Linked DNA regions of Schizosaccharomyces pombe. The protein of the gene in region 1 interacts with the protein of each later gene in a biochemical or structural test. Each region holds a gene or a part of one and is shown in the gene's direction. Other genes may lie near its edges.

The links.
Region 2: the proteins of rad55 (region 1) and sfr1 form a complex in vitro, tested with the Schizosaccharomyces pombe proteins (one study listed by BioGRID).

What each region holds. Positions count from the first base shown.
Region 1 is NC_003424.3:2,059,674-2,075,921, reverse strand, and holds rad55 (DNA recombination mediator, RecA family ATPase Rad55/Rhp55), read left to right. Parts: upstream 1-8,007; 5' UTR 8,008-8,157; coding exon 8,158-8,173; intron 8,174-8,217; coding exon 8,218-9,254; 3' UTR 9,255-9,480; downstream 9,481-16,248. Other genes in the region: serine/threonine protein kinase Pit1, read left to right, coding at 1-1,628; mug191 (alpha-1,6-mannanase), read left to right, coding at 2,690-4,018; SPOM_SPAC3C7.04 (transcription factor), read right to left, coding at 4,807-7,158; eisosome BAR domain-containing protein Pil2, read left to right, coding at 9,918-11,069; sac12 (inositol polyphosphate phosphatase), read left to right, coding at 12,281-14,116; fpb26 (fructose-2,6-bisphosphate 2-phosphatase), read left to right, coding at 15,445-16,248. UniProt on the Schizosaccharomyces pombe protein: Required for radiation resistance and meiotic viability and acts in recombination and recombinational DNA repair pathways.
Region 2 is NC_003423.3:1,574,775-1,590,030, forward strand, and holds sfr1 (DNA recombination mediator Sfr1), read left to right. Parts: upstream 1-5,681; 5' UTR 5,682-5,913; coding exon 5,914-6,813; 3' UTR 6,814-7,106; downstream 7,107-15,256. Other genes in the region: translation machinery associated protein Mep33, read left to right, coding at 1-631; ppi1 (cyclophilin family peptidyl-prolyl cis-trans isomerase Cyp2), read left to right, coding at 1,555-2,043; Prp19 complex subunit Cwf7, read right to left, coding at 2,633-3,162, 3,202-3,235; SPOM_SPBC28F2.05C (xylose and arabinose reductase), read right to left, coding at 3,401-4,231; ERMES complex subunit, membrane tether and lipid transfer protein Mdm12, read right to left, coding at 4,353-5,174; hrd3 (HRD ubiquitin ligase complex subunit), read right to left, coding at 7,329-9,470; transcription factor TFIIA complex large subunit Toa1, read left to right, coding at 10,448-10,465, 10,511-10,612, 10,654-11,643; ngg1 (SAGA complex subunit Ngg1/Ada3), read right to left, coding at 11,913-13,568; upstream binding transcription factor, RNA polymerase I specific, Hmo1, read left to right, coding at 14,585-14,614, 14,807-15,256. UniProt on the Schizosaccharomyces pombe protein: Involved in DNA recombination repair and meiotic chromosome segregation.

The sequences.
Region 1 (16,248 bases):
GTTTACATATTGTAATGGAGTTTCTCGATTGCAATTTGTACCAGCTAATAAGTACTAGAAAGAACGACCCTTTGACTCTTGAGCAAGTTCAAGATATTATGCGTCAAATATTCAAAGGCCTCAATCATATTCATACAAATGGTTTTTTCCACAGAGACATGAAACCAGAAAATATTTTAATTTCTTCAAATAGTGACTCTTCTTCTTTCAATGTTAAGATTGCAGATTTTGGTCTTGCTCGTGAAATTAATTCGCGGCCTCCATATACCGAATACGTATCCACTCGTTGGTATCGTGCACCTGAACTATTATTACGGGACTCTTATTATTCGTTTCCGGTCGACATATATGCTGCTGGATGCATGGCATTTGAAATTGCTACACTTCAACCAATTTTTCCTGGAAATGATGATTTCGACCAATTATATAAAATGTGTGAAATACTTGGAAGCCCTGATGAGCAATCTCAGAATACTGGAGATAAGGGAGGTGGTATCTGGGATCGAGCTGAACTATTAGCTAATAAGCTAGGTATTTCTCTACCCAAAATGGCTCCGCTCGACTTTGGAGACTTATTTTCCCCACCATGGAATTTAGCTTTTGCTTCAATGTTGTCCCAATTGTTAAAGTGGGATCCAGCCAAACGACCTACTGCAGAAATGTGCCTTGATTTAGAATTTTGTCGAGTTTCCGCACCGGCTGATGCAGTTGCCAGTAAAGAGGAAGTCAATAAAAACACTGATTTTCGTGTTTCAATATCATATTTCCCTTCGTCTAGTTCCATTCCAGATGAATGTAACACTGAGGAAGAATCTAGGATCAATCCTTCAACTTCAAAGTTTCTTAAACAGCTGAATAAAGGTTTCAATGGGTTTACTAAACCGTTTCGTAAGTCAAGAAAACAATCAAAGAACCGTAAAAATAAGTCTTCAGTGGCTACTCAGTTTTCTGAAGAGTCAGAAGATATTGCTGATAGTATCACCTCTTCAACATTTTTTCCCGTTTTACCCCAAATACGCCCATCTACTCCTTTGAATCTCAAGTTACGAAACTTCATTATTTCATCTTCTGAAGATTCTACTTCCCCCAAAGCGAAGGAATTTGACCGTCCTTTGCCTTCAACCGAATTTCTTGTTGCTATAAATAAAAGTCAAGAAGCTTTGTTGAATAACTCTCCTAACTCCAAGTCTGGTAGTACGCAACTTTCTGCTTCTACGTGTTTAAGTGATTTAATTTCCCCTCAGCTATCGATTCTATCTCACGAAGATAAGCGCGAAAATCAATCTGTAAACAGTGAATCCTCTAAATACAGTCCCCGGTCATCTAATCATTCACCGACACTTCACAGCAAAGATTTGCACCGTGATATGGCTACTGTGAACAATTATGCCAAGTCTCCACCTTCTTTCCATGCTACGCAGGACCTTCTTCGTAAAACATTAGCCTATACAAATTCAAGTGGTACATCAACAGTCTTATCTAATGACTCTTCAGCTATTTCCTCAACGTTTTTGGACAGAGATTTTCCAGATTTTGGTATCACATCGTTAGCTGGTAGTCTAACACTTCCCGACTCGAAAATTATCGATCGCTCTAAAACACACGTTTCGACACAATTGCTTCCCTAGCTCATAACACTTTTACTTTTGATTATTCCACTAATCTTTTCTTTTCCTTTTATTTCTCCATGTTTTGCCGACCTTTCTTTCTTTTTATTTCCCCTTAATTCCTTGGTCTCTTCCCTGAATTACGCTCTTTTGTCAACTACTTTATTTATTTCACTTCCAAATTTACTATTTTGAGAAGCAAATTTTACATGTTTTTTGTTTTAGCATCACCTTTTCTTTTCTTATTTTTTTTTCTTTTTCGTTTATTTTGTTTATCTTTCTTTCCGGAATTTTGTTCGCCTTAATTTAGCATTTTTTGTAGTCTAGGTAACGCTAAATGATGACATTACCTTACATATTTTTAAATACATGTATATAACTGCAATGATGAAAGCTGCTTTTGATTTTCTATTTAAGTGATAATCGTAAAATTGTAGTAGTTGTTTTTTACTTAATTTTTTATATTTGCAACACAGTAGCACAGAGATGCAATACCAAAGCTATTTGTAAGGGGAGAAAGAAAAGAATAAACACTCGATACTATGTTTATTTTTATGAATATAAAATGGTAGTTTTTACTTGAAGAAATAACTGCTAAATGTACTGTGTGCTTTTATCTCTTACATATACACATGTAAGCTAGTAAATATACAATTCGCTTGTTTGAGTAGGTTAATTTATATGACGCAATATTCCCGAGTAGCTGGATACCACGTCTCAGAGAAGCATTTCGTCAATAACCAAGAATTACCACATGTAATTATTGAGGAAACCGTGAGGCGTTTATCTTACTTTTTCCAATTACGAATTGCCCGAGATAACTTTTTATAAGAAAAGCGAGGTTTCATAATAACTACTTGCAAAGACCAAGCAAGCGTACGATTTCATGAATTTTAAGTAGTTGACAACTACTGCTTTTTGAGTTACATTTTCCCAGGAAGTTCATTATTAAATAACTGTTATTTCTTTTCTTTATATCAAGTTGTACATTTGGCAGATTTTTTTTGCCTTATTTAACGATTTCTCAGGAATATACTATTAACGAACAATTTTTGTAAACCAGGAATTATAAAAAGTTTACAATGAGTGAAAACGTTTACCTTAACGAAGCGCTGAATGTAGTAGATCAATGCTTTAAAACTTTTTTTGATAAGTACACTGATAGAATGGGTAGCGCCTTTGCCTGTTCAGGCACTATTGACAAAGATCATATCTTTCTTGTTTGGTCCGTGGCTGTATATGCAGAAGCAATGGCAGACAGTTTAAGATACACCAGCAAGTTTGAGCGGAAATTCGAACATGTGTTCCAAGCTTTGAAGAAATATTGGTCCCCCGTTTTTAATGCCTGTTGTGCTTTTCACTATTTTGAAGGAAATGACGACGTATATTATGATGACAATGCACAGGTAGCTATTGGCTTGGCTACGGCTGGCTATTATACTACAAACAGTTCACGTCGCGATCATTATGTTAGTCGAGCAGAAAGTATAATTTCGCTTATTATCAACAAAGGTTGGAATCAGCAACGTGGAGGTATTGCTTGGCATACCCGTACTACTGGTCCACCATGGACTAATCTAAATGCCTGCTCTACTTCTATGTCTGCAGTTGCTGCTTTGCGACTTGCTCTGGCGTTGGACGATCCTAACAAAAAGCAACATCTTGTTTCGTTTGCTTGGAATTGTGTTCGATGGATTCAGGAAAACTTGCTTGATGAAAATCATATTGTTTGTGACGGTCTTAGTTTGAAAGACGGAAAATGGGTCTTAGATAAGGCACGCTTTACTTATAACACTGGTACCACTATGACAGCCATGTCTTTATTGATGGGTCTAGGTGAATTCACTAAAGGATTGCAAGATATTGAAAAGCTTCCGACGTACTTAGAGGATATGGCTAGAGGTGCTTTGGACACCAATGGCCCATTGTATGATCAATCATGTAATGGAAGCTTTAAAGTATGGTCTGATAATACCTTTTTTGCTCAGCATCTTTCCGAAGGTTTAATGACATTTTCTTATGCAATGCCATCATCTGCGTTGGCAAAACCTGCTCAAAAAATGGTTTTAGATCAAGCCGACTTTCTCATGAAATATTTACGTATTCCAAAGGAAGGTCTATATTATCGCAACTTTGGTCTTTACAAGTTGAGTCCCGAATTGACAGCCTCGTTCAATAAGTTTTTCAATGCAAACAAGCAATTTCAACCAGATAAAGATGAACGCATTCAACAAGAAGGACCAGTGGAACAAAGACCTTTGTGTCCTACACTGATTGGAAGTGCTGGTGCTGCTAGAATGCTGTTTTCTGCTGCAGAAATTGTTAACCGAAATAACCCGAGTTCAGGTGAGTCGACAACTCTTCCTCAACCTAGCCATGGTAAAAAAGATAAAGATTGTGTGATCTCTTGAGCAACCGTTCAAATTGCTTATAATATTTTATCAGGTAAATTATTCCCCTTTAACGCGTCTTTTATTTATGTTGAATAAATGAATTTCAAATGAATTGCTTTAAAATTTTGCATAGTTATTAAGAATAAGCAGTATAACACGACTTTCTAATTAAAACCCTTGTTGTTTATATATTTTAATGAGAATTTATGTCTATAACAAACATCATTGCCACTTTTTTTTACCTAAATAAGCGAGTTTACATGATTAGTCTACTAATCTCTTTATACTTTTCACTGACGTTCTTGTTCAATAGAAGATAAAAAAAATCATTATCTATTTACTATAACTGTAACGTATTCCACGTTTAATTCAGCAAATAACCTGTGCTATGAAATCGAAGCCCATTAACAGAATTCGTTCTGATGACTGCAATGGTAACTTACAACATTTAAAAGCTTGTTTTGATATGATTGAAATATTAAAACTAATGGGAAGTGGAATCTGTAATATGTGCAATTCATTTCAGCCAGCAAAACGTATTAGCGCATACAGAAATCATGATTAAGCATAAAATAATAAAAAACAAATAGTTAGTATTATGAAATTTAAGTCCAACAGTTTTGAATGTTGCTTCTTTAGCAAAACAAACTTGACCAAATTTAACTTTTTTGTTCGATATTGAATAAAATCCGTGAGATCAAAAAATAAAGCCTTCTAGTAGAAAAAAAAAAAACCAAAAACTCGATATGCTCAGATGTTTTACAGATGTTGTCAATGAAAAGATAAATATGGAAACATCAAAAATGTTATGGACAAACGTAATCTAGCCAAGTAGGATGCATATTACCTAGCCAACTACCTTCGATATCCATGCCTTGATCGGTATTAGCCCAGTTTAACAAAGATGAATCGTTGGCAAGATCAGGCGTTGTCTTTATAGGATCCAAAGTGCTAGCAAACTTTTCTAGATCATCATCCAGTTTACTGTGGTCCAAAAGGAAAGATGTATCATCAGTTGGAAAGAACGAAACATCTGCACCTAAATTTGCATTGGGAGTCAAAGAATTACTATTTCTTCCCCCACCGATACTTTTATTGTAAGGACTCATAAGTTTTTCAGGTTCGTCTTTAGCAGAGACTTCCGCGATCCAGCGCTGCCACGCCATGAAACCAGATTGGCTAGTATTCCCATTACCGTCAGAGCGAGCTCCTTTGAGATGAGCATCAAAGAGTCGAATAACTCTAGCACAATTCTTGGCAGCTTCATTCCCTTCTGCCATATAGTCGAGAGCTGAGTAAGCATACTGCATTGCTATGTCATCTTCTTCACAAGGTTCGGTAACACAGTGAAGCAAAACCACCAGCGCACTTGAGAAGGTATAATTATAGTCAAAGAAAGAGTAACAAGAGAGTTGAGAATGATTCTGAAGTAAATGTACGAGTGAAATTAAGTGCCTGGCAGCTAAAATGCAGTCTTCATTGATACGATCGACACGCGGAGAATTTTTTGCATTTTTCATTTTATGTAGTAAAACAGGTCGAGACATGATGATAATAGCTTGGTCATATGTCATGTGTAAATGCACATTTGCACGAAAAAGTGGGTCTTCAGCATCAAGATTTTCCAAAATCTGAAATGGTGGTAAAGAACGCTTCCATTCTTCAAGATCGGCGCGAAGGGATTCAATTATGTTTATTGGATTCTTTTTATAATTGACAGTTCCATAAAGTTGTTCCATAGTTTTTCCCATTATTTTCGCAATTTTAGACATAGATATGATATTATGAACGTTGGAAGCAGAACCTTCTATTTCCAATTCAGGCACTACTGTTGGTAATGCCGCATCACATTCGCTGTCCGCAATAGAAAGTGGACGTCCTGTAGCAATACTGATTAAGCGATCCATGGTATAAACCGACCACCATAGGCGATTACGAAGTTCTTTGGTCTTGGGATCAATATTTGGATTTTCACAGCTACGATGCAACCCGTTTGCGACAGCAGCAGATAAAGAAAGTCCGAAGTAAGTATAGGAACTCTTTTGGGAAAGTGTAGACTGAAGATACAACCCCATAAGTATGGAAGCCTGAACCAAGCTTGGTTTGCATTGCTGAATTACTTGTGGTAACAAAAGCCTAGCAGTATCAAAAAACTGTTTTCCTGGGTTGTCAAAAGGATTGCTAGCAGAACGAATTTCCATGTGAGCAAACATACTACCAAGTGCAAAGATCATCATTAGCAAGCAAAGAAAGCCAGGGTCAACGGATGGATTTTGGAAGCTCATGATAAGGTTTAAACGATAACGAAGTAATGTTTCATGGAAAAAGAAAAAATTTGCTTGAACATGGCCATAGAAAGATTTGATAAGAAAATCTGAAACTTCAGGAGGAGGGAGAAGACTCAGCGCTTTTTGAACAGCATTTACATCATGTTCATTCGGAGGATAACTGTGATGGGTATGGGAATACGCGCTCAGCTCGGAAAAAGAAGGATCGACAAGTAGTTCACTTTGAACAGAGTCAACGAATGCTTCACCAGCAGAAGCTCCTATATAACGGGATTCGCCGTTAGAGTCAACTTTTATTTTTCCAATTAATTTCATGATTTCGTCAACGCTTTGATCGCTAGCATCAGCATTGATTCCATTGTTCGTATCCTCTGCTACGACCGTTGGATCTTGCTGAATTTGTGAACAAACAAGTGCACCTTGTGTAAGGGTATCCACGTCACGTTGACTATTGGTGCTTTCACTATTGAGGGAAAAGACATCTGAAGATAATAGTGATTTTTGGTTGCTTATACGATTGCAAACTTCAATCAATGAAGGTGTAGTATAAGTCGAAACTTTGGTGGAACAAAGACGTTCAACAATATATTCTAAACACTTGTATCTTTTTGAAAGATCAATAAAGTAGTCCTTAGAATAATCCATTTCTTTTTCATCCTTTACTGGATATGTGCATTCCAAATTATTGGAAGCACAAGCTTTGCATGGGTTTGCCCCGTCGCAACGAACTTTCCGGGCTTTGCAGTTAAAGCAGGCTAGAACCACCCTTCTTCGTCTCTCCATAGGAACACGACGTCTCCTATTATGCTGCTCCTGCTTCATGGCTTCGAACAGAACCGCCGTATTTTCAGGTGAAAATTCATGGCTCATTTTCCCCGTTTATGTTAGTAAAATACCAAGTTCATACCAATTTCCATAAATTTAAAATTCTTTTTCTATATTACAGAATTTCAATTCTGAAAAGAGAAAATGCTTAACTATGGCAATGACTTGGCAGAACTTGATTAGTAAATGCCTAAAAGAAAAAATTGTAGTACCCCAGCTCCTATGTTCTACTGGAGGGCGTAATTTAGTGTAGTGGTACGAACCTTTTTTATCAACGAAATCTAATATATACACATATTATTAGTATATGAGACCTTGTTTATACATAACTTTAAGAAAAAATCTAACCGATTTTAAATTTTTGAAAAATAAATACTGCTTGTATTGTACTTTGAAAATGGGAACTTCCGTCAATTTCTTTTCGTTGACGAGCTTATACGTTTATTGAAGCATGGCATGCAATCGATTTTTGTTAATAATTTTCCATTTTAGTATTTCTTCAATAAAATGAGTATTGTGTACATAGTAAACTAATTGCACACATATCGGTCGACACGCTATTTCATAAACGGAATGTAGTACGAAAATAATAGCTATTTTGATTAAAACCCTCTTGAGTTTCAATACAAATGTAAATGTTGCGTTATATGAACCCAAAGTTTAAAGTTCAAAGTCAAAGGCAGTAATGAATCATAGATTCAAATGAACTTGAGCTTACTCTTGCATTCCTGTTGACCTACCTAGTCAAATTTCCCATTATGTATAAAGGTTACGAATTTGTTACCTTCTAATCTGCTTAACCTTAAGACTAAAATAATTTATTCCTTATAAGAAACAACATTTAATGAAATGATTGCAAAGTAAAACACGTAGGATTTCCTTTGTCGTTCTACCAACACCTCCAAACCTTACAACGTATCGTTGTTTCTCATGTAAAGGGAAATTTTCCTATATCCTTTTTATGCTGTTATCAATTTAATATAAACTGTATCGCTGTTATTCTAGTAGGTCGCACTGTGCTGGATTTAACCTTCATTGAAATAAATGCTGTCTAGTCAACGTATGCGACTTCCAGCCTAGCTAACTGTGTCTAATACTTTTTAGATCGTCTAGTGACTCAACCTGCTATTCGTGCGTACGAAGCATTTTCTGCTCCAGGTTTCGGCTTTAATTCAAAATTATTGGATGATGCGTTTGGAGGAAGTGGTCTTAAAAGAGGGTATATTTCTGAAGTATGTGGAGCACCTGGGATGGGAAAAACAAGTTTGGCTTTACAGATTACTGCAAACGCTCTTCTTTCCGGTTCTCGTGTGATTTGGGTCGAAACTTGTCAACCAATTCCCATGGAGAGACTTCGTCAACTATTAGACAATCACGTCCCTTCTTCCCAAGATGAAGAGGAAAAATGCGATACTGATGAGTTATTAAATCTTCTCGATGTTGTATATGCACCCAATTTAGTGAATATTCTAGCTTTTTTACGAAATTTCGATCAAGAAAAACATCTTAAAGAAATTGGATTATTAATTATTGACAACCTATCAATGCCTATTCAACTTGCATATCCAACCAGTCCAGAAGATTATGCTTATCTACGTCTTCGTCGTAATACCAGCAAAAAAAGCTCCCTTTCAGATTCATCTCAAAAAGAAAACACTTTGACGTTAAACAAAGAAAATGAGTTCTCGAGTAAAGACGACTCGAATTTTGCATTTCATAACTCCTCTACCAAAACAACAATAAACCGCAGAAAAAAGGCAATCGGTACAATCAGTTCTTTGTTAAGCAAAATTACATCCTCTTGTTATGTGGCTATCTTTGTTACCACCCAGATGACTTCAAAAGTTGTTAGTGGGATAGGTGCTAAGTTGATACCGCTTCTCAGCACTAATTGGTTAGATAATCTATCTTATCGGCTCATTCTTTACAGTAGGCATTCAACTGAAGAATCAAAAGATGGACAGAGTCGTCCCTCTCATCAGCTTCTGCGCTATGCATTCATGGCAAAGCAGCCACCAGCTCATTCTGCAGAATCAGAGTTGGCTTTTCAGTTAACATCTACTGGTATTCAGGATTATCAAAGTATTCCTACCAATAGCTCACAACGACGTAAGAGATCCATTTTGGAATGTGAGTCCTAGGTAAAAATGGTGGCTTCAGTTACGAATTTTTTAGCATAGTGATGGTTGTTTTGCCCATATCTATTAATTTATTATACCTATTCATTACGTTGCATAAACAACTATGAATACTTGTCGAGTGTTGGTCAAAAGTTTCTCAATGATTTATTTGTGATCTCATATCTTTTCATAATGTATCATAAGCTATTTTGTTCGTTCATTTTTATGAAATTGCTAATTGTCATAGAGGAGGGAAATGATTAAGATATCTATATGTTTGCTGATTGACAAGTCCTTATTAATTTTCAATTGTTTAGGTGTCGCATTCAGTGTACGGACAATAATGACATTATGCTTTCGACATATAAATTCCATGTTGACATAGTGACGTCTCAAGCCTAGCTCAAATCTTTAAAACATGGGTTCAAGTCGCTAAAAATCTACCTGAACTTTACAGCTCTTTTGTTACTTTCGAAAGTGTAGTCTAATAAGTCCATTTTGAGCCTGACCTTATTTATACTTCGCTTTGTCTAGTGTGAGTTGGCGGATTAAGTATGTTTTAATGAACATTGTTTCAACCTACCTCTAATTAACATACTAACCTTTTTATTAGTATTTCCTTTCTCTTTTTATATATACATATTTTCAAAGTCTTAAATCGTTTATCAAGTAATTAGCAAGATGATGGGCACTCAACCATCTTACTCTATTCATACGCTTCGCGCGCCTCCTAAAGCGAAACAGAATCAAATTCCTCCCTCTACTACCCGTCGTGCAGTAAATGTTAATAAACTCGGCAGACAATTCCGTTATCCATCTGTGGGTATGTTTACTCCCGAAATGGCTAAACGCCTTGCAGCTCTCGTTAAGATGGAAAAGGATTTACTTCGATCTTATGAAAACGTTGCCATGGAGCGCAAAGAATGTGCCAATCAACTTTCGTATTGGGGTGAAGATTGCGATGATGATATTAGCGATATCAGTGATAAGCTTGGTGTACTTTTATATGAAATTGGCGAACTTGAGGAGCATATGGTAGACAGATACGATCAATATCGTGTTAGTCTGAAGACCATCCGTGATATTGAGGCTAGCGTTCAACCCACCCGTGTTAAGAAAGAAAAGCTACTTAACTCCATTTATGATGTTAGAAGCCGTGATCCTGAGTCCCCAAAGCTTATTACTATGGAACAGGAACTAGTTCGTGAGGAAGCTGCGTGTTTGGTTGCAGAAGCGCAGTTAACTAACATTACCCGCGAAAACTTTAAACGTGCTTTTACTCTTCATATTGGTACATTACTTGAGCATTCTGAAAAGGTTGCTATTCTTTGCGGGTATGCCAAGAAGATCCTCGATCTCCTGGACGATACTCCCATTGTTCCCGGTGAGCCTCGCCCTATTTACGATGGTTACAACATAACCCGTGACTATATTGTTGAGGCTGAACGTGAGTTGGCTAATTGGCAAAATCCTTTCCAAACTCCTGAACCCCTTACCGACATTGATGGTTTGCCTTCTCAAAGTCATTATCAAACACAATTTCAAGCTAGTGTCGTTCCTCGCACAGATGTAATCAATGAACCTCCACGCCGTTACTCTCATGCGAATGGTGTAACTACTTCCGGCACTACACACTCTTACACCTCTACAGGTAGTAAAAGATATTCTCAAATGGGTACAGAAGATTATCAACCTAGTTTTCAACCAAACATTCTTCAAAGCACCCAAGTTGTTGATAACTTTGAAATTGGCGAGGAGGATGATGAAGAAGTAGGATCTCAAGGCGTTGCTGAAACGTCTATGCCTAGCACTAGTGCACAACCTATTGCTGCTTAAGCAAGTCTTGGTGTGTATTCACGCGATTTCTGGTGATCCTTACGCATTCATCAATTGACGTGAATTTTTTGTCATGTCAATTCACATAATTTGCTAGCACGTGTTAAGCACTTGCTATTGCTACATATGCATGCTTATCGAACTAATACTCACGTTACTCTCATTACCATTGTTTTTGTGTCTATGTCGTTTAACCATATTTATTTTCCACCGAGTTTTATGTTTCGCAGATGTTGGTTTCTTAATTATCTTGTTTTTATTTAGTGTTTTTTTTTAATTCCTGCGGTCAAAATTAGGCTTAACAAGGTTGTTGGTTAAAGCAATTAATTAACAATGGAGATTATTTGTGTTGAAAAAGGATTTTATTAAATGTATGATTTTATAATTTTTACTTCTCAATCCGATTTAATAAAATATTTATGTAAAAATTGGCAGTTCGGTTGTATTAGTAAAAAGCAATACAACATAGATAGCAAATTCAACTGGGTCAGATCTTTAGTATATATTATTTAACAACGGTAAAAATATCAATAAAGCTTAATTAAAGCAAAACATATGCTTCCTTTCGAAGAGTTGGTTATCATATAACACCTAACTTTTATAGAAATTATGTATCAAAATATAAAGCGACATTGCCTATATGTTACTTGCAGTCAAAGAAGGCTCGTAAACTATTTTGATTATGCGATAGAGTATGGTATGTTTTCTGTGATATCTGAAAAACGCTACGATGAATTATTAATTATTTTTGCTACTCTCAAAATCAATAATATCATACAGTATTATGATTTTCGTTTGCCTATTCTTCGAATTATAGTTTGTAGTTCAGCCTTAATATAGGTAATTGGGGAGTATCAGCATCACCAGACGACCTATCTTGTAAAGCAAAGGTACAATGAATAGCGATACTTTACGTATCATTACATAGTGCAATGAGAATTGTTAATAATATCATACATTACACTGTCACTGAAAGTTCGTTTTGTAAAACGTGCTGCATAAACCTTCAGGTAACAATGAACTCGTTACTCAGGCGCTGCGTTGGAAATCAAGCCTTCAAAAATCGTTTCATGGACATTAAAGAGTTTGATTTGAATTTTTGTAAATATAGCATTCTCATTTTTTACTTTTGAGACCTAATTTGGAAAATACATTAGTCCGGGGTTCATTATAGCAGAAAAGCATCTACGCTTCTCAAATACAACAAAATAATGAATCAGGACGTTAGAGTATTTCCAGACAGCATTTATCTATCATGTTCCAAAAAAAAAGCTTCTCTTCGAATAGATAGAGTCGACGGATGCCTTAGTTTGAGCAATTCTCTTGATCTCAGCAAGACACCTGACTATAATAACGTTCAGTTATATGGATTTATTCGATTGAAAATATACAAATATGTAGTTCTTGTTACAAGTTGTGATTTGCATGCAGCAATTCTCGGAAACAATATTTATCGGGCAAGGAAATTTGCTATCTTCCCAATTACAAGGACTCTTCCATTCTCCACGGGTCTGCTAAATATTAAAGATGAGGAAGAACTACATTATATCAGTTTGCTCAATAAACATTTGTCAAAAGGCCAAATACTTTTTAGTCCAACGTTAGATCTAACCTGTTCCCTTCAAAGATTACGCGTACTAACCCAATCTTTTGAACTGACATCAAAATATAATTACCGCTTTTTTTGGAATAAATATGCATTTCATGAATTAATTGAATTGACGAATAAGGATTTAGGCTTTCAAGAATGGATTCAACCGATGATTCAGGGTAATATCGCCATTACTAACTCGTTTTTAAAGACTTATAACCTTAGACTGTGTGTTATTACACGACATTCTCCTGACTATGCGGGTACGCGGTATTTCACCAGAGGTGTAAACGCACAAGGAAGTGCTGCTAATTTTAATGAAATTGAACAAATAATAATGATCGAATCACCCATCACCCTTGAAGAACAAATGGTTCTTTCTTTTACTCAAATTCGAGGAAGTATCCCCATGTTCTGGGCCGAAGTTAATGATCTTCATTATCGACCTTTATTATCTTTACAACCTCTTGATTATAGCGAGACTGTGTTTGGGAAGCATTTTCAAGAACTTGCCAACGATTATGGGGACAATCTTGTGGTGGTCAATCTTCTAGACCAAAAAGGACGTGAAGCACCTCTACGGTCTGGGTTTGAAAAATTATGTAAACGAAATAAAAACCCTCCTTTGTCTTATGTTTACTACGATTATCATAAGCAAGGAAGTAGAAATCTCCCTTTGTTTCTTGCTGAAATTCAAAGTCTCTTGATAGAAGGAAAATATTATGCCGAGCATGGATCTAAAACTACTGCAATGCAAACCAACTTTGTAAGGACAAATTGTATGGATTGCTTAGATCGGACGAACGTCATTCAGACTAGCATTGCACAGTTTATTCTAAACATGCAATTACACGATATTGGTGTACTTTCTAGCTCTGAGAGTTTGGAAGAATATGATAGTTTTTTACAAGATTTTCGCTTAATATGGGCTAATACTGGAGATTATATCAGTGATCTCTACACTGGTACCCCGGCCTTAAAAGGCGATGTGACTCGCCATGGAACGAGAACCATTTTTGGAGCTTTCAAAGATTTATTAAACTGCTTTCGTAGATATATTCTTAACAATTTTTTTGACGGTATGCTGCAAGATAGCTATGATTTGGGTCTTGGAGTATTTCGTCCTTACGACTCACTTTCGATTCCGGACTTGCCTTTGCGTTTTCACTGGACTAGATTTGTGGCACCTGGAATTTTTTTGTTCACCACGATAATATTAACTATACAAGAATTATTTGGAAATCCAAGTCTGTTCTGTCGTCTGTTATATTCTATCCCTATGGTGAATGCTGGAATCTACCTATATTTTCATCGTAGACAATACGTTAATTGGCCTCGTCTAGTACTACCAACGTATGCTAAGGGAGGTTGGTTTTCGTTTCGTAATCATTTCCGAAATATTACTCTTAAAGTGTTTCGTTTTTTGCGTTCCGGCTCTTTCAAAAAAAGTGTCTAACTGTGCATTTCAATAACTAAAGAACAGTATTGCTATAACTCTTAATTAGCAGAAAACGCTCTTTGAACACTCGAAGTTCACTCTTTATTTCATTAGACTTCATAGATGTCAATCTTGCTACTGAACAAAGCGATGCTACCCAACTTTATCAAGTGACTAATTCAGATCATTTTACGTGATTGGTAATTGTAACTTTATTTTCTTTAATTGCTCCAAGCTTCCTACCAATATCAATTAGTAATTTAAGATTTTCATAATTGTTAGAGCCCTTAACAAACTATTGTAGTATGGATAACACACGAAAAAAATATAGCAGACAAAATTAATATTTCTAACTTTTATTAAGTCAGTGTTAAATATTGGGCAACTTTGACCATTGAATCACTGAGGCTTTTGACTCAAGTTTTACTCGGTTTTAAACAGTAAATGAAATATATGAAAAAGCCAAGCTTTCTTTCAATTTCATAAGTGTTGTTCATGTTCAATATTTAGGATACATACTTCTTCCAATTTAGGGGCATTCTGGTTTAATATTTTCAATGAACATGTTATAAAAATGAATTTTTTAAAAGATCATACAGTTCAGCAACGTTTTCTAATACTTCCAATCCAGAATCTTAATTCACAATTCACATTACTGAAAAAATGATGAAGTTATGCCTTACCCGACAGTTTTTGTATGAAAACTCCACAATATTACGAAAATGATTATATACACTTTTACAATCAGCTTAGCATAATTATGCTTATAGAAATGGAAATGCTCACACTTAATTTTGAATATTATTTTAATAGTGGATTTAACTACTCCTAGTACCAAGTCAAAGACTTGAGATCACTTAATGTAGCTTACGGAAGCGTAAACATCTCTCGCAATAATACTGCGTAACGAAGACCTGCAATTTAGTATATTAAGCTTGAACTTACACGTATACCCCTCTTGTTTATGTTAGCAGGAGTGCAATGTTCTGAACTTGTATATTTTAAGCCGTTCTGTTAAATATTATTAATTTAATCGTTTTTCTTTTTAAAAATTATAGCTTTTTAACGCATTGACGAGTTCACTACATACTCTAAGGATACTTAACATAAGTACGAGTACTGCAAACCGTCCATCAAGCTCTTCAAGGCGAATCATACATTTCGAGCGAAATACGACTCTTTAACATATATTCATTATTTAACATATTCACTTAATAATTCAACCCGATTCTGGCAGGATTAGCAACCTGGTCATATTCTTATGATTTATTCTTTAATATTTGTTTGCAACATAACCACACCCAAAATTTAAATTAAGAACTAACTTTTTTACATTAAGATCGAACATGAAAGACATTGAAGGACTTTTGGGCCTATGTGTTTGCTTTGTGGGGTTACCCGCATCTGGCAAGACATCTTCTGCAATGAAATTATCCAGATATTTGACATGGATGTCCGTTTCTACTCACCTTTATGATACGAAAGAAATTGATAATTCGTTGTCCGAAAATTCTAACAGTGATTCAGAGAATTTAGCTAAAACTCTTAGCCCCATATTCGATAATCTGGAGAGCGTTTTTAAAAAGGGTACTGATGTTGCGATTCTTGATTTTAACCAATGTACACTAAAGTTTCGGAAAAGTATAGTGGAGTTGGCAAAAGCGCGGAATATGCTCTTAATGTTTGTCGAGGTTGTCTGCACAAATCAAAAAATTATCGATGAAAACATTACTGATATGTGTCAGCATTCACCATATTTCAAAAGCTTTCCGTTCGAAGAATCGAAGAATAAAATCCTTGATAGTATTCATGAGTATGAGAAACACTACACACCTTTGTCCGAGGCTGAAGAATGTACTTTCGTTAGAATTGTGGACTTTGGAGCCGAACTGATAGTTCATAAACTTGAAAATTACCTTGAATCTAGGATTGTTTATTATCTCTCTAATTTGCGTACGCGTCGACGAAGTATTTGGCTAAGCCGACATGGTGAAAGTCAATTTAATGTTGAAGGAAAAATAGGTGGTGACTCAAGCTTAAGTCCTCAAGGACTAAAATATGCTGCTCTTCTTCCTGAATATGTTGCTAAGTTTTCGATAGGTGAAAAAGGACTTACGGTTTGGACATCTTCAATGGCTAGGACTATCCAA
Region 2 (15,256 bases), on another chromosome or scaffold:
AGTGGCTGCTTTGTTCAATGCAATACCCAAGAAACAAACACCTCAGAATTTTCTTACTCGTAAAGAAGAAGTTAAAGAGTCACAAAAAATCGACCTTTACTCAGATGTTCGTGACCAGCAAACTGATTTGCCTCTTGAGAAACGTCCTTGGATTAATACGGACATCGTCTGTAAGTTCTTTCTGGAGGCGTGTGAAACTGGCAAATATGGATGGTTGTGGCAATGTCCGAATGGTAATATGACTTGTATTTACAAACATGCTCTTCCTTATGGCTACGTGCTTAGTCGCGACAAGAAAAAGGATGATACTAAAGAAGAAATTAGTCTTGAGGCCTTTATTGAGATTGAGCGCCATAGATTAGGGCCTAATCTTACCCCTGTAACTGAAGAAAACTTTAAAAAATGGAGTGATGGTCGGAGAGATCGTATTCTCAAACAAGCTGAAGAGCGCCGTAGTAACCGCGCTGTTGGTAGAAGTAACTTAAGTGGCCGTGAATACTTTGAGAGCAACAAAGACAAAACTCACGAAGTGGTTGGTGATGAGGAAGACTGGGACTTCTCTGCCCTTCGTCGTGAAACAGAAGCTTTGGCTAAAGCTCAGGATGCCACCGCTCCTATCGTTTCCGTTTAATGTCCTTGGGCTATTAATTATTTTTTTCAAATGTGGATTTTAGACAAGTGATAAATGATCTTTTCTTGTTTAAAATCTACTCCATTTTTTATGTCTTGTTAGCTTATACATTATTTTCATTATGTTTTACATCGGGTTTCTGAAGGTTTACTTTTCATATTGCCTATTTGTTTTGTTCGTTTGGCTTATTGGTTTCATTTTTGCCAGCTCTGAATGAAACATATATATATTTTTTTCGAACTGATGACTCACTTTTCGTCTTTTATATTTTATTTTGCAGTTTTGTAAACTTGTATTTGTGAACAGTTGTCGTGTAGCTAGTATACAATCCTCTAAACTTCCATTTTTTTCTTAGTATTGTCAGACATATCGTAGAGACATTTTGCAATATGGAATAGGTAAGTATTATAAGTGACGAATTCATCCGACCAGCCTGAGATGCGTATATGGGAATTTTTATACATGATTCCAAAACAATTTGATTATGCAGATTGCGCAGACAACTGAGAGAGTATCCTACTAGTTTACATATACGGCATACTGATTTTCACTTCTATTTAATTAACGACATAATAGTATGCAAAACTCCGCGTTATCTAGAAATTAACCAATTTTTCAAATATTCGTTAAAGAGTTACGATAGTAAACTTGCGTAGCTTTGTTGCGTTTCCTTAATGACAAGAAGCCTTCAGACTTTCGTAGAAAGAACAAGTGAAGTCAGGACGCAATGAAGGCTGAACGAAGGATGATTTCATTAAAAATACGATGTTAAAAAAACCTGAATTAAATACATAAATCTTTTCTTATAACTTTTCTGAAACAATCCACTTTATATATTTGGTAAAATTCGAGATTCGATTTTCCAGCATATATAAAAGCGAAACATCTTGAATTACAACTTCTCCCAACCACTTTTAGTCAACATGTCCAACTGCTTTTTTGACGTTATTGCCAACGGCCAACCTTTAGGACGTATCGTCTTCAAATTATTCGACGATGTCGTTCCCAAGACTGCTGCTAACTTCCGTGCTCTCTGCACCGGCGAGAAGGGCTATGGCTATGCTGGCTCCACCTTCCACCGTGTCATTCCCCAATTCATGCTCCAAGGTGGTGATTTCACTCGCGGTAACGGTACCGGTGGAAAGTCCATTTATGGCGAGAAATTTCCTGATGAAAACTTTGCCTTGAAGCATAACAAGCCTGGTTTGTTGTCTATGGCCAACGCTGGTCCTAACACCAACGGTTCTCAATTTTTCATTACCACCGTTGTCACTCCCTGGTTAGATGGCAAGCATGTCGTTTTCGGTGAGGTCACTGAGGGTATGGATGTTGTCAAGAAGGTTGAAAGCTTGGGTTCTAACTCTGGTGCTACTCGTGCTCGCATTGTCATTGACAAGTGTGGTACCGTCTAAGCTTGTGCTTTTTTAACTTACTCGTTGATGCATTTATGAAAAAGAACTATTGGTTCCTAGATAGTCATAGTTCATCTAACGACAATTTTTCCTATAAAGTTTGCGATAAATTTTTGTAAAGTATTCGAAAATGTAAAGAGAAAAACTTTAAATTAAGAGAAATCATTCAGCTGTTAAACGTATAAGTAATAATAAGATTTCAGTAACAAGGAAGCTGCGACGAAGTGTTTATAGCTATTGATCACGATCCATAGCATATAATCAAGAAAGTACGTATTACTGAGGTTAGACAAAAAGTAACTTAGTTAAAAAATCGACGACTTGGTTGGCCCATAATAACGCGCATAGTAGTAATTGTATTAACATTTAACTGTTTACTAGGATACTCTTATCAAAAGTAATCCTAACCTTAAACGAAAACCGGGAGTCTTTTTGATGTGAGGCATGTTTAATTATTTACATAGAAGTCCATAGTGCTAAGGAAGCTTAAGTTAGTCACCCTGGATTATATCGAATTACCTTAACGCAAGAATGTAACTCTGATTATGATATTCATTAGGGATAATATTTACGTTCAATCAAATTGATATTATGACAAGAGAGTAGCAACACGGCACTGAATGCTGCTCTGCAGCAATTGTCCAAACTTTACTTCAGCTTCAGCAAGTCGGGCACCCACTTCCATTTGATAATGCTTCCTTTTACGATTACATCCTTGCGAAAGTTTTTTGGTGTTTACTAACTCTTTTTCTAATAATTCTAGCTGAACTTCTAAAGCCTCCAACGAACTATCAAATGCTTTTTCTCCATGCTTTTCTAGCAAATAAAGGTTATCATTGCGAGATTTTTGATATTCCCATACAACAGCGGACTGCAACAGGCTTTCACGGGTTCCCGGTGGTTTTAGCTGTATGTAGCGTTGAACGTCGATGGCTGCAAGTTTTTCTCCCTTTCCAGCCGCAACAATGGCATTTTCCAGTCGATCTGATAAACGATGGGATTGAAATTTCTTTTTCTGTTCCTCTTGTTTAATTAGTAAACCTCCAGATCTCTTTAGCTCCTCCTCAACAATTTGAGCAGCTGCTGATCTATCTTCTTCGTTATAAGTAGATTCAAAGTCTAAATAATTTGATTAGAAGACATAAAAAAAAAACTTACAAGGTAATGAATCCAAAGATATATTATAACTCATTTTATGCAATCCAGAAAAAATCCGCCCTCTCCATTAGACGTTCGTGGTTGGTATTTGGTTAGTGCTCAGCACTTTGGAGATACCACATATTTTACAAAGACATAATTTATGATAAGCTACATACAATGAGATATAAGTTTAACAAAAAATCATTTTTATAATGTTTCAAGGAAGTATAATAGGATTCCAAGTAGGTTTACTCACGAATTCTTCATCCCAAGTATCCATGACATCCATATCTGATGGGTCAAGCATGAATTGCTCAGCCTTCACGTTCTCATGGATATGAACAAACGACGAAGCTTTGAATATTGGTGAAACCCCTTTCTGAAGGCAATAACGAAGAAGAATATTCGCCGGTGTTTTATTGTACTTTAAGGATAAATCTAAGAGTCGAATATCACTAAGACGATATCCTCTTGTTAGCGGTGAAAAAGCCTGTACTAAAATACCGTGATTAAAACAGTAAGAAAGAAAAGTAGGCCTGTTATTGAATGCAGAAAATTCGACCTGATTAATAGCTGGAAGGGGCAACCCAAGACTGATAATTTCTTCCAAATGATGAATATTATAGTTGGAAACTCCAATTTTGTTTATCCTTCCTTCTTTTTGATGCTGCAATAGTGCTCGCCAAGACTCAATACGGCGTACGGGCCACTTTGGTGAATGTATTAGCACGACGTCTAACTTTGGACGACCTGTTCTGCGAAGAGACTGTTCGACCGCTTTCCAGGTACGTTCAAATCCTTGTAAGGAGTCAGGAATCTTAGTTATTAAGGTGATATCTTCACGTTTAATATTCACATTTTGATGGCAGAAATCTTGAATGGCTTGTTCACATTCTTTTTCATTTCGATATGTAATTGCTGAATCAATTACGCGAATACCAAGCGAGAGTGCCTCAATTACTTGCTGGTAGCAATCCTTAAGTTGATATACACCAAAGCAAAGTTGTTCCTTTTCAAAATTGGTTTGAGAAGGAGAAAATGGTTTCATTAACGTAAGTTGAGGTAGATGAGAGAGCTCAATGTATAGACAAAAATATTTTCTAAATCCCTAAACCTTTAAGTAGGAGATTAAAGGAAATTTTTTATATATTTAGGATAATTGTAAAGAATTATTCAATGGTTATATAGCTAGGCCAGACAAGTTCATCCTCAATAATACGTTTAACTTTTTCCGATACAAATTTCTCGACTTTAGCAACATTTTTTAGCAGCTGTTTATTAGATTCTCCAATAATACTTTCCACTGTTAAATCTCGAATAACACTTGATGCATGCTCTCCAGTTCCGTGCAGCAATGTATCAACGAAGCATAGATGCGTCCGCTTTCCCATTTTAGCCAAAACAGCAATGGCATCGATGGAAATCCTAATAAATGAAAGTTTGAATGGAAGAACTGCAAATTCAGAGTTCGGGTAATTCATCGATAGAACCGCTTCCAGGCTTAGATTTGCGTCTCCGTCATAAGATACGTGTGCAGTAACTTGGAAATCGTTAGAACGATCTCTTTCTTGATGATTATCCATTGGAGTACTTGGGCGACTTTCAGGAATTGGGCTTGTGAGTCCACTTGCAGATAGAATCCCGGGTGAATTAAATGCGGGATTAAAATATGCTAGTCTTGAAAATGGATGTTCAGCAGCGTAAGGTGGAAGATCCGTAAGCACTGGTGAAACATTATTGCGGGAGCATTGATCACCCTCTAGTTCTTGGTTAGCTAATTCGAAAGCTTCATTTTCATAAAATTGGGGATCAGGATCGCCGATTTCTTGAATAGTAATCTGAGGTGAGACTTTGCCGAAATGGAAGTCAACAACCTTTAAATGCTTTATATAAGATGGTAGCGACAAATTCGAAACTTGTCCTTCGAGAAGATGTAAAACTTTTGCTTCTAATTCTGAGTCTAACTTTGACCAATCAAAGTCAATAGACATTGTTCTGCAATTGTAAAAAAAAAATACGAACTCTTGAATCTCTCAATGACGATTGTAGCAAGTTTTCAAAATTTAAGTAATTTCTTCGTCAACTTGGTTAATGAAATAATATTTAAACCGGTTCTCTAAATTTTATACGAAGACGGCATGAATTTGATACTTTAAACAAAATCCTCCAGCAATTTTAATGTCCTTTCCTTCAATGTTCTTTTTTACTCATCGAGAATTGCAAGTGAATTTTTAAGATATCTATTTATCTTAAATATTACCTTCTGTAGGTACCAAAATCTTTTCTCCTAGTATTGTCAGTAGAGTTAGGTGGTATTCCCAGATTACCTTCTAACAAAGCCTACGCGGTTTAAAAAAGGTTAAAAAACAAATTTGTAAATTAATAAACCTTTTAGTTTATTACTATCGTAATTTGTATAAACATTTAATTTTTTGGAACCACCAGTCATGTGCTTCAGTCTTCTTCTACCTAAGTTCTTGTTGCTTGCTGTTATTTTCACCTTCTGCTAGTAAAACGTTTTCAACGTTTATCTGGAATTTGTGGTATTTCTTCATTTCTATAACAATTAATATTCAATTCATTTAATTATTTGAAGTTAGAGTTTAAACATTCAACTATTACACTCAACGCGTTTGTTGACAAAAGTTACGCGCTTCATTGCATCTTTGTTATAATTTAACATTCACTCTTTCATCTTCGAATTAGTACTTTAAAACGATTTAACTGAAAATGTCGCAAACAATTAACTCTGAACTCAATGAAAATGCTACTTCACAGTGTAAAGAAGATTTGAAAGTTTCCCTAAGCGAAAGTGATTTACGTGACTCACAGGGTCAGTTAGGAATAGAAAACCCTCCTAAATGCAATAACAGTGGCAATCACTCAGATAACCTAGGTTTTATCGAGCAGTCAGAAACAGTACATCCAGAGAATGAGAAGGCTTTGACGCCGGACCTGCGAGATACAAAAATACATACTTCTTTACCAATTACTACACCTTTTTCAAAGAAAAGGGCTCGAGAAGCCAAAAATATACTTCTTAAGCCGTTCAAAAGCCCCTTAAGACAAACTGCCAGTCCTCAAGTTGCAGACACTAATCTAAAACCATCGTTAGCTGTAACAAATCTTAACTCTGATGAAACAAACACTTCTTCAGAACCTGTTACTTCTCCCTTAAGAACAACGCCTAATTCAATAAAACGGCAAAAACGACTTTTCAAGTCACCTATCTCTAATTGCCTTAATCCAAAGTCCGACCCTGAAATCACACAGTTGCTTTCTCGTCGTTTAAAACTTGAAAAAGAAGTCAGAAATTTACAAGAGCAGCTCATAACCGCCGAAACTGCACGAAAGGTTGAAGCCAAAAATGAAGATAAAGACTTGCAAACGTTGATACAGAAATGGAAAAATGCTGCTCAGCAAGCCGCTGAAGTACTTTTTAAACCAATGGCTGAACGTATTCGTTTGGCTGGAGGTGTTACTCAGTCCTTTCGTATTGAAGAAGGTGAAAATAAAGGGCAAATTCAGGAAGTACGAACTGAATTTACAATGAGTATGTTTCTAAATCAGTTTGGTGTTCCTGTTCATTTGATGTCTTTTGATGAAGAAAATGGTGATTGGAAATCGTAAAGGACTCCTTACTATTGTTAAAAAAATTTTCGTTCGTACTAGTTAGAAAACCTTTAGTACGAACTTAAATATGTTTAGCTAGCTTACACCAAAATCAAGGGTATACTAATTGAACGTACAGAGGTACCTTAATCGTTTACATACAAATTGCGCCGAGCTGGTATCGAAATTCTTTACATGTAACAATGAATCGTTCCAGGCTGAGTTTATGACTTTAATTTATATAATTATTAGCATTATACAATAACATGTCTCATTAATTTGAAATTTCTTGATTTTGAACCTTCTGGTTCTAAATTTTTTCTGGAGATATTTAACATTCAAACAACAAAAGTCGATTAATTGGCTGACAGACAACAAATATAGATCAACCAATTGAAAGATGAAAAACAAAATTTATTCAAAGCATGATTTAATCACCGACGAACCCTAACATACATATATTTTTTATTCTGCATCCATCGAGCAACAAAATTTTAAATTAGAACGCAAAAAAATCGAAGATACAATTTTTATTAAGCGCGGTTTTGTCTACGGATGATTCGCTCACGTCGTTCTTGAAGTCGATGCTGTTGATGGCGTCTCATTAAAACCAGTCCGACAACTACCACAATAAGCGTGACACACGCAGTCTCCAAAAACCTTCCATCAATGTAATCATAAGTGAAACGAATATCATTATAGGATTCACCCATCTCTTCAGTATTAGGCGAGGGCAAGGACTCAGACGTTTCTTGAGGGTCAGGTTGTTGTGGTGTACGATCTACTTGTAGTGTTGGTGGTTCTGGGGGAAGTTGTGAGTCCGGACCTGCCGGGCTTAGTATGTCAAAAATATTTATAATAAAATATTGCACAAGCTTCAAAAATTTGTAAGTGACTTTTCCAAGTATGCGATAAATATTAGAAAACCAACTGTCGGGAGAAGAAAGCCTCATTCTTAAACGTGCCAAGGTCACAGCCAAAAATGCTCGTGTATCGTGCATTAAAGCATTATCATAGTTTTTCTTTGCCATTTCAAAATCCACTGGGACACCTACTCCATATTCATGCATCCATCCTAGACGCCAATAAGCCAATGCAGAAGGATGAATGGCAGCCGCCTGAGAGTAATAAGAAAAAGCCAATTCAGGTTTTGCTGAGGTACCCAAACCCATTCTGTAAAAATCTCCAATTTTTATAAGCGAGTGGATGTGATTTCTCGCTGCCGCACGAGAGTAATAGTTCATCGCAATCCGTGCGTTACGATGAGTTTGTTCATTTGTCGGAAAAATGACGGTTTTTAAGTAAGAAGTAGATGGATCTCGATCTTTTGCTGCCAAAATTTGCGACATTAAATTACCGAGCTCGGCGGAAAGGCGATGAGCAAAGTGTCTAGTTAGTGGATCAAAAGAGATGGTCTTAACGTCGAACAATTCCAACACTCGAGAAATAAAGTTTTCATAGTAGGCTATTGACAATTGATTATTGGAACCATAATATATATCAGCAATATGCAATACAGATTCAAGATGCCCATTAGATACAGCTCTTATCAGATGTACTGTAGCCTCATCTATTTGACCATTCGCTAACGACACTTTTCCAGCTACAGCAAAAGCAAGAGGATCATTGCTAGCCAATGCATTCTCTAAAAGTTTTGTGATTGACTCAGTGTTTTCAGCCACAGGATATCCCATAAAGTACATGTAGGCAATCGCAGCCTTAGAGGAAGAATGATTTAAGGATACACCATATTCAAACCACGCATACGCAAGAGATGGATCTGGTTTGCCAAGTTCACCATGTAGAGCCATACAGCCTAACCTGAAAGCTGCAATTGATAAACTGTTAGCAGTTTCTTTCGTGGTTGGCGCATGTCTTGGATTGTTGTGAATACTCTTTATAGCTTCAGAAGGAGAATCTGGAATTCCAGAATTTACTAAACGAATAGCTGCAAGATAATGTTTGACTGCTAATTTTATATCCTTCAACTTACCAGGAGTTCCGTACTGGTAAATCGTAGCAAGGCTTATATGGGCCGATATATTATTTCCACGTAAAGCGTAGTCCTTTAAGTATTCAACGATGTCATCTTTTTTCTGAACACTATAGCTTGAAGTACGTGATAAATCATATAGGTCAACCGGATATTCTGCTGCTATATCAGGAGCAAAATGAGACAAGGGTTGAACTAAGCATGATATTTGATGAGCTACTTGTTTATAAAGCTCAACCCCCTTATCCACAGACATCGGTGTAGAAAGTCCATTAAGGTGCTTATATGCAAGGGCAAGTAAAGCATACGTATAATTTTGGGTGGCCGATAGTTCAAGGAATATTCGAGACAACGGTTCGTTTCGAGGAAACGATAAACCTAAGCGTTCGTCAGGCCCCATGGCGTACAGCATGGCAATTAAAAATTGTGATTCCGGATCTCCTTTTTCAGCTTCTTCATATACGTATCCGGGATCTTTAACGAGTTTCGGAAATGTTAAAGTAACTAAATCAGGAAGCGTTTTAATAGACGCTGATACATTAAACCTCGACCCTTCAGGATACGAAGCCACGAGAATTGGCTTCTTATCAATGTTGTCATAAGAAAATTCACCACCAATTACCGTAAACACGCATCTTTTAAAAATAAAGAACAGACATATAAGGAAGTTAAGCAACTGCATCAAGAATATTACTGAAAGTGTGCCTCTTGTCCGTCCTCCCTCCTAAAAAGAACCGTTCAATTTCCAAAGTGGTGAGTTTATATATCATCGGTGACTCTGTTACCTGAATGGAGGGCTTAAAGAAATAGCGCTGGAAGCTGAATAAGTGCAAAGTTGTTTGAATAACAATAAGCTTGTAAATAGAAGACTGTAAATACATTTACATGGTGTCAGAAATATTCATCCTTCCAATTGTTGTCTGTTGTCTTTTAACCTAAATTTCCAAAATTATCATTTTTTTCTAGCAAAGTTAAAAGAAAATACCTTTTCGGTACTCGTATCTTTATCATAACCTCAAATAAATCATTCAGGATCGCTTTCTCGATAATGATAATACACACCATATTGTAATATAATTTATAATATTACCAGGCGAAGAGTAATAATCGCAAATAGTAATGATATTTCGTGATATCGTCTTATTGTCGTAAAACTCGTATCAAATACCGAATATACAGGTTATTTAAATCTTTCATTCTCAAGCCGATTTTATTTGAGCTAAATATTATGTTAGTATTGTTGCTTTACCAAGCACCTTTACTTAAAACAAATCATTTTACTTTAAATTTACAAAATGAAATTAGTTATAGAAAATAAGCTAAATTATCACGTTAGTTTTATGAAAACTTGTGCAGTTAAAAGATATCACTTAATATTGCCAATTTCGGTATTCACAAACTTGAAAAGTCTACAGTAAAAAATTGAATTTTCCACTTTACTAGACATTTAACAGCAACGCAGAGTGATTGATAGCGGCGCATTGTTACTAGAAGTAAGACATGTACTTGATTTTTTATTTACTCGCCTATAATTGTTGTAGTATATTTCTTCGCGTTAGAGAATGTATCGCTTCCTTGTATCTCCTTATTTGAGGCGGCGGTCCACCTACCGCTATTTCTAAGTATCCTTTTACGAACTACGCATCCAACTGCACCACAATGTCCAATTCGATCGTCGTAAGTTAGTATTGTTTTAAGTGTTATTCTAATGTTTTTATCAAGGGTGAGGTCTATCACCACGTGATATTAGACGTGATTGCTAATTCACGGAGCGATTTTGAAGAAAATGGTGTTGATGATGCAACTTTACGAGAATTACAAAATGTACGGTTTTATGAAGTTTAGGTCTTTTTCTAATAAAACAGTTATGGCAAAGCAAGTTAGTTGCTACCGATGTTGCAACTTTTCCTTGGGCACAAGCTCCTGTTGGCACATTTCCCATTGGTCAATTGTTTGATCCAGTTAGCGGCTTGAGGACAGATTCATTAGATGTTACTGCTCCAGCTGTTGCAAACTCTCCCATACTTAATAATATAGCCGCTATTCGTGCTGTTCAGCAGATGGATACATTTGCGCAGCAACATGGTAATTCAAATTATTATTCTCCACCTACTCCCTCTCTCCCCCAGTCAGCAACAAATATTTCGTTTGACAGCTCTGCAATACCTAACGTACAGTCCAACCCTAATAATACTGCCCCCTTCCCTTCTTACAGCTCTAACTCATTGCAACTGCCCACTAATCAAACTGCTGACTCACCGATTATCAACGACCATTCGACTGCAAATGTAACTTCTACGGGCCAAGAACATGCTCCCGACTCTTCATCTACTAACTCATTTGGCGGATTGTTACTTCCCAATCAAAACTCTCCGAAAAAGTCTGAATTAGGAGAGACAGAGTCTTCTAATACCACCCCTGCTAATTCTCGTAATGACGTGCCTCAAACCGATGGTGCTATTCATGATCTAGATGATGCTGGGAGCCCTTCTAATTTTGAAAGTAATAGATTTGCTATTGCACAGAAAGCTGATGCTGAAATTTATGAAGTTTTGAAAAAGAATCGCATTTTGCAAATTGACGGCACTATAGAAGATAACGAAGATGAAAAAAAGCCACCTGTTGATACGCCTTCTGACGAAGCAATTAACTCAGATTTAGACGATCCTGATTCAGATGAGGCTCCCGAAACTGAAGAAGGTTCTGATATTGGACAGGCTATCGTTCTTTGTCTTTATGACAAAGTGAACCACCACAAAAATAAATGGAAATGTGTGTTCAGAGATGGCGTAGTTGGCGTTAATGGAAAAGATTACTTATTTTTCAAGGCGAATGGTGAGTTTGAATGGATTTAAAATTTTACTTTAGGTGTTTTGCTTCAAAAAGTGATGGACGTATTTTATCTATCAATCATTCTTCTTTTTGGCCTTTTTGTTTTCTTCATGAATCATGTTTATAAGTGCATTTAAGTAATCTTCCTATCATATTTTAGTGAGCACATCAATCTATTCTACGGTTAAAAGTATTATTATTATTTCATGCAAATTTTATTCACTAAAGCAAGCAATTAAATTAGATCACAATGATAGAATTACAGTATATACACTTTCAAATTTTAAACGCTTCATACAGATGTACTGTAATTAGATGTAGTGTGGTCCGATAAATCATTAAAAATAGAAGTTGGCGAACCAAGGTGTTGCGTAAGCTTATCCTGAAATAAAGGTTGAAGCTTTTCTAACCACATTGAGCGCTTGTCCATCAATGATTTGATGACAGGAAAAGAGCCGCTCGTAGCTGAAGAGCCAATTTTATCAGTAACAATACGTTTCTTTTTAACCTTCAAACTTCTGTTACGTTTGACATACGCTTGTTCGATTTGTTTATCTAGATCATCCATCACATTTTGGAATTCTTGAAATGCCATTTCCTCAGGAAGCATCTGTAACAGCGCATTCCTCATTTTTTCGTTTTCATCAGAAACTACCTTCAAACGAGCATTCAAACTCCTTAAGGTAGCTGAAATTTCATCATCCTGTCGCTTTGACCAATCTACATCGCCATCATAAAGTATACCTAGTTGTTTTAGGGTGTAACGAAGGCGGTCCTCACAAATTGAAAGACTCGACTCTTGTATATCCGGTTGTTCTGTATATTCATTATTTCCTGACTCGATTCCATCAATGCTTGTACCAATTTTGCTTTTCTCGGATCCAGAATCGGTTTCCGCAAATTCGCCAACAGCAATAGAAGGTTTTTGCTCCTCATCATTCTGCGTGTAGCAAGGAATTAATGAAGCCATTAGTCGTTCAGTGAGTGGACCACACCTAACTTCCTCAGAGACGGTATCTGCCTCATTAAAAGCTTCAAGGGATCCTTGAGCAGAGGTTTGCAGGTTTTGGTAAATTGAGTTAGCACACAGGTTGGTCATTTCATCTTCCGGAGTTAAATCGTAATAGCGTTCCCCCAAAGGAGGAATATTATAGGAAGACGAAACGTCAAATCCTTTTTTTAAAAAAGCAATATCATCATCATTGAAAGCACGAAAATATGGGTCAAGTGACGAATAAAAGGTTGATATTGAAATCTGGTTATTTGGCTTGTTGTGAGAAAAATCATCAGTCGCCGGAGTTCCTGCCACCAACGATCGTACATCACTGGTTGGAAAGGAATCTACACATAAAAGCTTCTTTTTTTGTTCATAAGAGAAGGAATCGTCAACAATGAAAGATAGTAATGAACCGGTTAGAAGATCGTTTGCGTTTTTATATACCAACCCAGTTGTCTGTTCATCTTTACCCTTAACCGGTAAATCTAATTCATTCTCAATTGTTTCCACATTTTCGGGACTGATTTCTTCATTATGGGCCTCTGAAACTTTGGGCTTCTTGGAAACTTTTTCTAGCATAGACTCTTGTGGACTTTCGGAAAGAGAACGCTTTTGCTTTATTTCTTGTTCAACGTTGTCTTCTTTAAATTCTTCTACTTTTTCTTCCACTTTATTAACCGACGATTCGTCTTTTGAGGTTTCTATTTCAGAATCGACATGAGACTCTAACTCTTCTTTGCGCTGGCGAAAATATTCTACACAAGACGGTTCACACTCAATCATTTTTTGCAGCTCAAACAGAAGCCGCCATAATGTCGACACAGACGGTACAACACCAGGAGTTGACGTTTCACTCAGACGGGAAAAGGTCTCGTATTGATTTTCAATTTTAAAACATTGAGGAATCACCGCGGGTTTCGAATCAGCTTCATTTTGTTGTTCGGAGGACATCCCAAAAAAATTTAAATCGTGAACAATACAACATTTACATATGTCTCTCTCCCCCGAAAAAATTCATTACTGAGGTGGTGATTTTTTATACCGGATTTCGATGATGGCGTACTTTTAGCGAAGTCTAGTATACCACTTGTTACATTGTTATAACGGTGCTCAGAAATATTAATCAAGAACAGCGTTGAATTGCTACGAATATGATATCTCAAACCAAATTAAACAGCAATATATTTTATTCATAGTGAATCCATCGCAAAAGCAATATGCTTTGCGAAGTATTTTGAACACTATAAGTGATCTTTGGTTTGTTTAAAATTAAATTTATCTTAAATTTAATAGTTTCTAAACCAATTGGTCTAGCGCAAGAACTAGATAAACAGAGTTGCAGCTTCACAAGATATCATGAAATAGATCTACGAGTCAATGGAATAGGATTTGTTTATACTTAATTAAGAGGTAAATATTTACAAGAAAATGTTTTATCATTTTTTTTTTTTAAATTTTGGATGTTTTTATTGCTATTCTTTCCATTTATGGGACATTATTTGACTGTAAGTCTCAGCAAATTTAGTGGATTGAGATTAGAAAAAGAAAAAAAAAAAAAAAAAAAAAAAAAATTTTTCTCGGTTGTAGATTTTCTCATATTTTCCTATTATATATTTAATTTACTACAATTGTCTTTTGTAATTTTCATTATATCACTCAACAGAATCACATGAAGAAATATCTCACTGAACCATCGTAATTTCAACAATAACAATTGTCACATATATTAAATAACTATAAACTGTAATAATAATAAAATGTGAAGAAAGCTCAACCGAACTGGTGGGTTTAACTGAAGCAATTTCATCTGCTTCGCATTTCCAGCATTAACCAACCACCCACCGTCATAACCGCTAAGATTTAAATTCCCGCCATCACCCCGGTAGGTCAGCCACCATTTCCTGTATTTGCCATCGTATTGAAGCTTTAGTTGTATTAGAAACTTTGAATATTTTTTAAGTAGTACGATGGCTCAAAACTCAACCCAACTGGAAAAGGTATGTGATATTTTAAAGAGTTTTGGTGTTTTGAACCAACATAATGTTTTATGATTCAAAAAATTGATTTAAATCAAGTATTTACTAAAAATAATCTTTTTTAATTGGTTGAAAAGTTTGATGATTAAATGCAAAATTTTCTTTAGTTATCCGCTTGGTTTTTGGTTTTTATCTAACAAATTGCCGTCTTAGATTTCTGGTTCTTTCACAAGGTTGGCGGAAGCTTTTCAGTTAGCTTTAACCGCATGCCGTGAGATCGAAGAATCACTTCCTTCGATATTAGGAGAGAAGTCCGAGGTTTCGAAACCTTTTAAGCCAGCCGTCACTGATCCATCAAATGCGAAGAAAGAGATTAATATGGCAATTGAGTCTCCTTCTAAAAAAGCAACTTCACCTAAGAAAGCTACTCCTGCAGCAGTAGCTCCTGTTGAGGCAACCTCCGCAGTCGATACGTCGGAAGCTGTAGCCTCCATGACCCCAAACAAGCGCAAGGCTAGGGATCCTGCACAACCAAAGCGCCCTCCATCAGCCTATAATCTCTTTCAGAAGAACCAACGATCGGAAATCAAGGAGTCTTTGGGCGAGAAGAGTAACGATGTTAAAGAGGTGAATAAAGCGATGCATGAAAAGTGGGGCTCGCTA